Nothobranchius furzeri: one gene and its partners. The protein of the gene in region 3 interacts with the protein of the main gene of each other region in a pairwise test. Links are inferred from orthologs where the notes say so. Each region holds a gene or a part of one and is shown on either strand. Other genes may lie near its edges. The genes, in order: unc119a1, pde6d and arl15a.

Region 1 (3,755 bases), on a different chromosome or scaffold from region 3:
AATGTCATCAGTTTTATATTTAATACATTCATCATGAGCAGCAAAAACAACACTTCAGGTGCATGAATTCAGGCAGGAATTTCTTTGTCTTTCTGCATAAATATTTGTGTAACACTAAACTGACAGGGGTGTAAGGTAAAGTTTAAAAACTGATGTAAAATCCCGATGATTTGAACCATTTTTTGACAGGAGCAGAAGATTACTGCTGTCATGAAACTCAAATCAGAGGTTTTTATGAACTTCATTTTAAGATCCTTTACACTGCTGTCAAATCATCCAGCTTTATTCCAGAGAAAAATAAATGTCCACGTCATAAAACACTAAAGATAAAATGAAAAATAGAATGAGCATTAAGAATCTGTGATAAAAAATTGAATGCATTCCCGGTAACAAAGCAGATTGTTCCAATGTCTAAAAAGGCTCAAGTAATGGGTTTTTTGTTTTTTTGTTTGTTTTGTTTTGTTAGTTTTATTTTGTTTAATTTTGTTTTGTTTTGTTTTTGTGTTGGGGTGTTTTGGGTAAAAACGATGAGGAATGCCTGCTAAACCTGACATTGGAGTCACCAGGAAGTGCTACAGCATGTTGCTGATAGTGCTTGTAAATAACTGGAGAGTTTCATTTAAATAAATTTGTAAAGCTGTGCACAAACAGTAAAAACTATTTTGAGGAAAATCAGGAGGTTGGGACACTTTAAGGAAAGCAGAATAACTCAGACAAGTCCAACAGTCCTGTTAGGATGCGAGCTGTATTTCTCCAAACTGAGGCCGTTCAGGAAGCTAACAATGCGCAGAGAAAAATGGCATGGTAATAACACGATGAGTATATTATTATTATTATTATTATTATTATTATTATTATTATTATTATTATTATTATTATTATTATTATTAAATGAGCACTGTTAATTGTTTTCCTCTGGGATTAAATAAAGTATTTTTGAATTGAATTGAATTGAATTAATGGTGCCTCCTGGACTATTATATTTACAGCTTGTGACCGTATGTCTTTAGTAAAGTTCCAGCTGTGTTGTTTGGGCTGTGCCGTTTCACCAGATCAGGATCCAAAGATAACCTGGAAGAGGCAAACACATCTCCGAGGTGGGAAACCAGTCAAAGCCAAGTGGTGCATCAGCAGATAAAAAGGGAACAGACGGGCAGTCGTGCGCCATGCCTGCTTTAGAGCAGGATTTGGATTAAACAGCTTGTGAGAGGAAAGCAGGGAGGGAGGGAGCTGAGAGCTGACTTAATTTTTTTTCTCCAGCATCTAGAAGGGGGGTAGGCACCGAGAATGAGTTCTTCTTGAAGCAACACGGAGCTGGTTGTCTGCTTTGCTGCACGATGATTTAGCCAGCGCGCGCAACTAAACGCTCCAACGCATCCGTTTTTTACGACAGCATCACCCAAGAAAAAGCTTCAGTTCGTGGCTGGTCGCGCGCCGAGCTCCCGTCTTCTGCAGGACATGAAAGTGCAGCAAGGCTGCAACTCATCAGACATGGGGATTCCGGTGAAAACCGAGGAAGAGCTGCGTGGAAATACCGTAATAACACCTGAGGATGTGCTCGGGCTCCAGAAGATCACCGAGAGTGAGTAACCTGCTGTAATGGGGGGGGGGGGGGGGGGGGGGGATTATCACAAGACCATTGCTACCATGGACAGCGACACAGCCTGAGACGATAAGAGTGTCTTCACAGCTTTAGTGTGCAAGCAGGTTCTTCTTGTTCATAAGCAGCTGGTTCATTATTTCAAATTTTCTGCAATTGATTTTGTTGATTTTACTTTTTATTACCTTTAAAAGCGTTTGTTCACTGACAGAATAAGGATAAACGAGCCCTGGAGACATGAAACAACTATGAAGAAAGTTGGCTCTTACCACTGCTTTACCTGAAGACACCTGCAGCTCTGACTTAACAGGTGTCCAGGGATGTGATCCTCTAATTATAGCTCAGTGGAACAAAAACAGGTTGAGTAACTATTACTGTGCTGTTCATCATATAAGAGAAAATGTGTTGACGCTACGTCAGCTGGACTCAGACAAAGTCTGACTCTTTCATTGAAACATTTTCTCTGTGGAGACGTGTGGACGTCAGACTTTTGTCTGAGTGCTGAGGGAAATGTTACACACTCAGGCTGAATTTAGCAATAAACACAGAGCATATTCCATATTTGTGGAGTTAGCTTGGAGCTCGCATCAACACCAAACATCTTAGAGAGATCATCTCTGGATTTAGTTTTTTTCATATTTACAGAAAATATTAACTTTACAGATCAACTTTTAGCGTTGTTGCTTTCATTTATTGCTTTCCTTTTAAAACAAGCACCGCTTACGCTGGAAGATGATTATAACCGTTTTGGAGACAAGGCCATCTTGCACAATAATGCAAGACCTTATCTGTTAGATCTCAGAGGACGCGTTGGGGATGGTATCAGACACTATCATGTGAAATAACAGCTCAATGTCCATGAAACTGATTAAAATTTCAACATCTCTATGTCCTCAGTGGCCACCTTGGATCGGTTGCAGACATCCTTTTAAAAGTTATTTTCTGAGACTTTTAATCAAATCCGTCCGATTATCAGACAGAAACAGAAACAAACATGCACATGCAGAGGCAAAAACATTATTACCTGCAGTTTTATCCACAACTCTGTGAGGAAATGTGAGCAAATCCTCACAAATGAAGCTGAAAGCTGTTAATGTAGCATTTTTTTTATAATTTTAATCAGCTGACCCTTTTAATCCAGAAGACTTTAATATTTAAGTTTGCAGGTTGCTTTAAGTGTTGCTAAACATGTGTTTATCCAGCTTATTCTTGTGTTTAATGACAACTGACAAAAATTCTAAAAACTGCTATATTGAGCGTCAGCTGCCCTGATCTCTAATAATCCGCCTCAGTATCAATGATAGTAAATCCCACATCAGGCAACTTCTCATCATGTAAACAAATAATTTACAAACGCAAACATGCTGTGTGTCAAAATAAAAAGAACAAAAACCACATTTCTTTAAATTAGGTTTACTTTTAATTTAATTCTGAATTGTTTGATTGTAAAAAGTCATTAAATCAAAATAAATGAACATGAGACGGTGGAAATAAGCTGCTTCATTGACGTTAATCTGTGTTAATAGAATAAAATTATAATTACAATTGGCATCTCCAACAAACAGGTCTCTACTTTTTATTTAGTAAACTTTAAGTTTAAGAGAAGCACAGAGCTTGCATCAGTGTGTTAAATCCTAAATCACTTATGATGGTGTACTAATCTCTGCTCTCCAGTGACATGTAATCTGGATTACGTCAGGATGGCTGTAACACTGCCTTCTGTAATGATTACACACAGGTAATAAATAACACTGGATTAAAATGATAATAGAACACCCGAAACCCAAAAATAGCAACAGTCTAAGATTGTTCCTGGTTGTTTTTATTCCACACCATGACAAATCCATGCTGTAATCCAGCAAGACTTCTCGGTTATTTCAGACACTGATGGAAGAGATTTTAAAATGTCAGAATTGCAAAAACAATCAGAGATTTTTGAGGGCACATTTCGCCATTCTGCTGTCACCCAGATTCACCCTGTCACACTTTGGTTCGATGTTCAGAAGTGGAGCAGGTAATCACAAAGGCAGCAACAGGAGAGAAATATAATCCAAGGATAAGAAAAGCACTCTGGGAACAGGAGCAATGAAAAATGATTATTTTTCAAATAAAGGCCTTAACACAAGTGTGGATCTCATAGAATTCTGAAACCTAA
Region 2 (3,755 bases), on a different chromosome or scaffold from region 3:
GTTCCAACTGACTGGAACCCATCCTATTGAAGCATGCTGCATGGAAGGCTTGTGTTGGTTTGTACTTTTGACAAGTTTACCCTGCCAATATGGCGGAATCGCTTACGTTTTTAAACAAGTTTTATTTAACCAATAAAGCTTACAGGCTTACATAAGAATCAATATTTACAGTTGAATTCTGAGCATGACAAAATAAAGCAGGTGTACAAACAGAAACAATAATATTAACCTAGCTCAATATCAACCTGCAGAAATCATAACTATATATATATATATATAAATATATATGTGTGTGTGTGTGTGTGTGTGTATATATATTACATCAACATTTTTAGGGGTAAAGGAAACATTTACCAAATTGTTATAGAGCCAAATGGCTTTCTTGGAACTACATAATTTAAGAGAATCCATAAAGGATGCAAGTTCTTTAAAAAAAAAAACAATAAAGATCGGTTTGATGTTGCCAAATTTACATTTGTGTATAAAGAATTTGGCGAAAATAATCAAATTATTGACAGTGAATTGCTGCATTTTATTTTCCAAACTAATACCATTCTTGATGTCAGAAAAAGATAAGGAGCGTATAATGAAATTATTATGCGTTAACCACGAGTGAAAACTATCCCAGAAAATTTTGGTAAAGATGCATGTGAAAAATAAATGTATCTCAGTGTCTATATTAGAAGTGCTAAAGGCACAATTGTTCTCTCCAATATTAAATTTAGACTGCAAGAAATCTTTGCAAGGATAAATACTGTTTATAGTTTTAAAATGAACTTCCTTGGCTTTAGGAGGGATTGGGAATTTGGGATAGTTGCATCTAATGTTTTTAACATCAGAATTACTAAATTGACGCACTAATTCCCGTCTTCTAAGAGGTAAGGGAAAGAGGGCGTCAGTGAGCCAACATCTAAGGATTTTATTATTGCAGTTCCTGTCCACAAAAGAACAGTTCTTAATTGTTAAAGGATGCATTTTTGGAATAAGGTGAGAGTACGGAATCGCTTACGGAGGAAACTGGTGTTTGGTTTTAACGGCGAAACGCTCTATCCGTTTCCGTCCCGCCTACTTTTCTTTCACGCGCTGTGATTGGTTCGTAGTAGTTCTCGTTCCCACTGAGTGGCTGTGAGAGCTGTCTGTCCGTGGGCGGGTATGTTTAGCTGATTGCATTATTGGAATCGGATTTATCCTGTAGTCTAACTGTTCTGGATTAATTTCGTATTGCCTGCTCTATTCCTGGCGAATTTCGACTGTCCGGTTGGCCTGCTACGATAAAGTTAACGGCGTCATTTCCCCCCCACATTCTGGATAATCGGTAATAAACGGAAACTGTCCCGAGATGTCTCGGAGTGAGGAAAGGGCCAAGGAGATTTTGAAGGGCTTTAAACTGTATCCTTCCACTGGGTGATGGTAATGTTTTTCACGGTTAAGCTTGATGTGTTGTTATAACTACTGCTGCAGTTAGAAGTCGGCTCCTAAGATTCTAAAACAGCTAGCTGTTCATGCTAACTAACCGTTAAATGGCAAAATTTCCGACGTGCTAACAACCTGTAAGTTGCTGCCTGTTGGTGTGACTGATTAAATTCGGTTTTATGGGGCTGTTACCGATCAAACATGTTGTCTGAGCGTGTCGTGGAAGCTGCTAGTTCCGTTAGCTCCATATGTAAGCAGCTTTGCGTGAGGACTTCAGGTGGATTGGTGCTGCAGCTGGCCCCCTGTGTGTGCTGCTACCCAACCTGAACAGGACCTTTGCTAGCAACCGTTTCTTTTGGCTGTACCTTTTAAAAGTCCTTGAATCAAACTAGAAACTTTTAAGTGGTTCTGCCGCAGAGTGGAACATTCAACTCCACCTTTAATTGGAGCCAAAGTTTTGGCCACGAGCACCGTCTTGATTTTGAGGGAGGAAAATATTTCATAAAGTCAGCACTCTGTTCACTGTAGCACCAAACGTGAGTTCATCATGACAGCTGTGTGGTGTGGTGATGACTTTTATAATGTTTTACGTGATGACAACAAATATTGTAAGAGGTGATTTCTGTGGCATGTTCAACTTTACCGGTGAACCCCATCAGCACCTCTGCCATCTGGTCGGATTCTAGAGAAAATCGTCAATCTCATCAAAAGAAAATAAAAAAATGCATTAATTTTAATATATTTTGTTTGCACGAAGCAGGAGGAATAGTTTACTTGAGGAAGCTGGGATGTCCGTAAGTGATGCCATGAGCTGCAGCTGTTACTTTTTTCAATCTGTGATTTTACTCAAATGCTTATAGATATCCAGACACTGCCCATGTTCTGAGTCGTCTGAGTTTAGAGGGAGTTTCTAGGTTGGATGGTGTTTCAATCAATCATTTTATTTATAAAGCCTCTTCCCACCCCCAATGAAGGGGGTCCAAGGTGCTGAACATAGTGCAAAGAAGCAGCACAATAAAACAGCTCTATAATAAAATACAGAGATGAAAACATAAAAAAACAATTAAAAAAAAGAGGTTAAAACAATTTAAATAGTGATCGAAAACATTAAAATGTAAATAAAAACAACGAAGAAACAGATCTCAAATGCAGCTTATGCCTTGCTTTAAAGGTGGGCAGCGATGTGGACTGTTTGATTTCTTGTGGTTCCAAAGCCGAGGACCCCAGAACTGCAAAGGCACGAACAACTGTAAGATGCCAGGAAGCTCATAATTTCAGCGAGATTTAAATATTTCCCATTTGTTCCCAGAGAATTTTGCAGACTGTTGCTGTTTGTTGTTGGACCTTTTCTGAGAAACTGGATTAAATGTTTTTTTTCTGGTTCAATGTTGAATTTTGCCCAGGAACAATCAGGGTGGGTGCAGAAAGGGTCTGGTTCCATTTCTCTTTGCCGTGTTTGCCTGTTTTTACTTAACATCGTGCTGGCAGAAATTGGATGAACCTTCGGGATGCAGAGACGGGTAAGGTGCTGTGGCAGGGAACAGAGGACCTGTCTGTACCTGGAGTCGAACATGAAGGTAAATCGCAGCATACATTATACAGTAGATGGGTAAATGACACGCTCATTACTTTTATTTGAGACTCCATATGGGAGTAAAAACAAATTGGCACAAAGTGTGACAAAACAAAATTCACATAACCGCTTCACATTCCTCAGATCTCTCAGCTCGCTTATCTTTGATTTTAAAGGAGAAACATGTTAAACAAAGGGTAAAGAGGTGATTAAGAAAATAATCTGGCAAATACTTTGAGTTTCTGACTACCTCTACATTTCTACGCCCAAAAAGCAAATTCAACTAATCTCCCACACAACCAGTGCCTTATTTAACACCCATTTAACCAATCAACGTTCAAAAGAATTACCAAAAAGGGACACTATCTCTAATGATAAAAGTTAGGATTTGTTTTTGCCCTCCTTTTTTTTCTGCAGCTGAATTTTTTTCCCTCTATTTCCAAGTTTAACAAATCAATAATTATATTATTAGACTCTATTCACAGCTGTTCTAGATCATTTCAACCCTCAGGAGGCAGGCGTTGCAGATTTGCAACGTTAAAACCTACCTACCTGGTTACTCCACATACGTATTTCATGAGCAGTTTTTCCTTTTATCAAAACTTATTTTAAGCTCGAGAGGGTTAATAAAAAGTAAATATTCAGTAGTGATGGGTTTCACCCTGTCCTGTGGGCTCCAAAACAAATCTGATGGTTGATAATATCCAGTAGTTTGGACGTGTTGACCTAACCGTGATGTCTCCTCTCCTGTCTCAGCTCGTGTCCCAAA
Region 3 (3,655 bases):
CCACATCATTACCTAACCCAACTATATCAGGGGGATTAAAAGCTTTGAGACACGAATGGATCAGGTGTACGACTTCACATTTCCCTTTGCAGATTTCATGTTACTGAAAAGCAGCTACGCCGGTGGTCTACGGTGAGATACACAGATGGTCTTCTCTCCAGGCGTTCATCATAGTTCTCCATCAGAATCATTAAACAGGTGATGTGTGTGTGTGTGTGTGTGTGTGTGTGTGTGTTAATGTGAGGGGAGTTTGTGAGTGTGCAGAGAAGTGAGGTGTCAGGCACAAGTGTGTGCTTTGCACAGGGAATGCTAGCCATAACATCCTACAATAAAGGGCCCTTTCTGTCAGTGAGTTAGAGCAGAGCTAGAAAAAATGTCCGTAGAACTATATTTATGAGGAGGTCAGTGGCTTGTTCATCAATTTCCCGACGCAAATCATAGTTTTTGAGTGAGAAAAGACGTTGTTGCTGCAAAGCGGTAAAAAAGCATATTCAAATAGATCTTTATTGGGAAAAGCAATTGTTAAAATAAATAGCCTTAAATGCAAATTAAAGCTGAAATGGCACATCTGCAACACAAGCTAGCATTTAAACACAAACATGATTACGGAAGTCTCTCCCCTTCTGATATGATCCCTAGGCCTGGAGGGGATAAACAGGAATCCGCATTGCCCCGGTAAGAGAGAGACCCCTCTAGACCAGTCACAGTTTTCTGGGTCCAAACGTATTTTGTTGTCTGTGACTTCAAACGATGTTTTTCTTTATGGGACTGTTAGTTTGTCCTAAAGTAGAAGTGGTAGCAGCTGGCTGTTTCTCCTTCTCTGATTTTATTGAGCTGCAAACCTCTCACACCACAACAGAGGTGTTCTGCTGCAAAATGTGCGAGTGCGTGATGAATGGCGGACCCAGGTAAATGTGGAAGTGAGGTGGTCCAGTGAGACAGGCAACCAGATGGTCCATTCGTTGGTTTCGGACAGAGCCAACCTATTGGATCAGGTTTTTAAATGAATGTAAGAAAGCAGTTCATAACTGTTTCCTGTTTTTTACCTTTACGATATATTTATAGCTAAACAATGTTGGAACGCTAGAAAGCCAGAGGCATGAAACAAATGTTTTACGGGCAAACGGGTGCCACCGGTCCGTCCGGCCACCACTAGCAGGAGAAGAAAGTGAAGGAAACGACTGACATAACTGACTGGGTTGGAACCTGATTCAGGGTATCTGCAGGTTTAAGGGAGTCAAATTTAAGACTTTTAAGACCTTTTTTAAGGCCACTTTGACCAAATTTAAGCTATTTTAAAAATTTAATCTAAGCTATAATTTCCAGCTATTGCCTGGAACCGGTGCTAACCACGTCGCGAACGTGGGATTAGCCATCCAGTTAGCATTAAACTTGCACTTCCCCATGGCGCAAGCTCCCGCTAGCTTAACCAGCTAATGTGCTCATCTAAAAATAGCCCCCTTTCACAACCAGCTGAGTGTGTACGGTTCCGCTTACGGCAACATCGTACACAAAAAAAGCTGAACACTAACTAGAAATTCACAAAAATTTTGTAGAAATAAAATAATCTTTTTTATTGGGTCTTTGGTAATTTAAGACCTTTGGAAACTGTATTTGAGGATTATTTGTCATTTTTAAGGATTTTTAGGGCCTTAAATTTGGAAAAGCTAATTTAAGACTTTTCAAGGACCCGCAGATACCCTGCTGATTACTGAGCCACCATTGCACCTTTGTTCTTCTTCGTCATTGCTGGGGTGGTTGGGTGTCACCCTTGCAGGGTAACTTCTGTAGAAGCAAACTGAGGTCTAATGTGTGAATCAACACGTCTCCTTTAAGCTCTCTGGCACAGACACCAGTAGTTTCCATTACTTCTTGAGTGGCTGAGCGTTATCTACCCCATTAGGCCATTCACAGTGGACTTGCCTGCATGTTCAAGGCCAGGCTGCAGGTGTAGACACTGGTTTTCCAATTCAATGTGCGGTTCCTCCTACCAGCCAAAATATTTTCTAAAAGAATCTGTCGATGGATTTAATTATGGCTCGAGGGAACTACTTGCCTTGGAAGGTTTAACCAAGGTTGAGTCCAACAAATCCAAACCTCCGTTCGCAGGGTCGTGCAATCGCATTCACTCTAAACCATTAAACTGTAATTCTTTATTAAGTTAGAAGACTGACAAGTGATTACACTGAACACAGATTGTGTAACTAAAGCAGTGAAAGTGAAAACATTCATTCTCTCTGTTAGAGAAGTTCAACGATGAGTATGTCAGCATGTGTGCAACGTCCAATACGCCAAACTGTATTTTTTTTTTTTCAGATGAAATGTGTGGAAGGGGTTGTTCTTATGGTGCATAAGAGGAAATTTCAAAAATATTTAAAACAACACTGTAAAGAGGTCAGATTACCTGACTCGGCGTTCTTGCTGCAGGTTTGTCCTGATGATTGGCAAGAATAAGGAAAGGCAGTGTGCAGAGCTGTGGGTGCTGCAGAGCCGAGTGGAGCTCGTTCCGCGCCGCCTCCAGGTCCTCGTCCGATGAGGCGCTATCCAGTACGAAGACTACACCCTGTGACCCCTGGTAGTACCGACTCCAGTATTTCTTGATGTTGTCAGCTCCTGCAGACAAATATGAGGCAGTTTTAATTTCTAAACACAGCTCTTTTATAAATAAAGTTGTGGCTGTCATAAGAAAAGGGTTAATGTCTCAAAAAAAGGTACTGTACAGACATTTTGTAACAAACGACAGTGGTAACATGGAACCCACCCAGTTTCTTGATCTGTTTGTCATCAGCTTTCAGTGAATTATTAAAGAGCAAGTCAACCCCTACCAGAGTCTAACTCCACTCTCACTTCATGTTTGAAAAATGCAACAAATGCTGTTGCCTGGCAGACTGAGAAGGCGGAGCTGCTAACAAATACACACACACACAGGCTCACGACAGCATTGTGACATCATAATGTACCAGTTTTAATCATAGCATACCTCTTAGCCAATAGCGGTGGCAGATTTAAATTAAAATACAGTGCAGAGTTTTTACCTGACAACGGCACAACACTGCCAATTTTAGGCAGAAAATTTAAATTTTAACCAAGATGCACTGAAATGCCAAATTATTGACTACACGTGTCTGCAGCACGATTAGACACTCGTTTATTTAGTTTATCAGCAAAAAAAAGTTTATTTGGGGGTGACTTGCTCTTTAACCACAGCTTCCCAAACGTTGTTCAAAGTAATCCTGTAACTCTAGCATTCACGAAGAGTCCTCAAGTTCTCTAAATGATTCAAGTCAGGTGAGTAACCGAGGGAGGTCACTTTTTGGTCAACTTTGAAGCTTTGGCTCTCTACAAAAGCAGAGGAGCTCTTGGATGCTGTGGTAGATTAAGATGAGCTCTTGACCCCCGTGGAGGCCTTCCCGTACAACTGCACAAAAAGGATTTTCTAGAAACCAAAATGTTTTTTTTATCCATCAAATAAAAAAAGTCTACAGGATGAAGCGTTCACAAATGATAAATGTAGAAAGAGGACAGAACATAGATACAGCTGATTTGTCTGCAGACAGGAGAGGCTAACCAGTTGAAAACTGGCTCATATATATATATATATATATATATATATATATATATATATATATATATATATATATATATATACTTTTTT

The links.
Region 1: the proteins of arl15a (region 3) and unc119a1 interact in binary tests that used the Homo sapiens proteins (3 or more experiments, as listed by UniProt). The link is inferred for Nothobranchius furzeri from reciprocal best matches to the Homo sapiens genes ARL15 and UNC119.
Region 2: the proteins of arl15a (region 3) and pde6d interact in binary tests that used the Homo sapiens proteins (3 or more experiments, as listed by UniProt). The link is inferred for Nothobranchius furzeri from reciprocal best matches to the Homo sapiens genes ARL15 and PDE6D.

Annotation. Positions count from the first base shown.
Region 1 is NC_091753.1:37,598,314-37,602,068, forward strand, and holds the start of unc119a1 (protein unc-119 homolog A), read left to right. Parts: upstream 1-1,032; 5' UTR 1,033-1,458; coding exon 1,459-1,582; intron 1,583-3,755. UniProt on the Homo sapiens protein: Involved in synaptic functions in photoreceptor cells, the signal transduction in immune cells as a Src family kinase activator, endosome recycling, the uptake of bacteria and endocytosis, protein trafficking in sensory neurons and as lipid-binding chaperone with specificity for a diverse subset of myristoylated proteins.
Region 2 is NC_091756.1:55,092,200-55,095,954, forward strand, and holds the start of pde6d (retinal rod rhodopsin-sensitive cGMP 3',5'-cyclic phosphodiesterase subunit delta), read left to right. Parts: upstream 1-1,133; 5' UTR 1,134-1,339; coding exon 1,340-1,389; intron 1,390-2,901; coding exon 2,902-2,990; intron 2,991-3,742; coding exon 3,743-3,755. UniProt on the Homo sapiens protein: Promotes the release of prenylated target proteins from cellular membranes. Modulates the activity of prenylated or palmitoylated Ras family members by regulating their subcellular location.
Region 3 is NC_091757.1:56,429,123-56,432,777, forward strand, and holds part of arl15a (ADP-ribosylation factor-like protein 15a), read right to left. Parts: intron 2,614-3,655; coding exon 2,405-2,613; intron 1-2,404.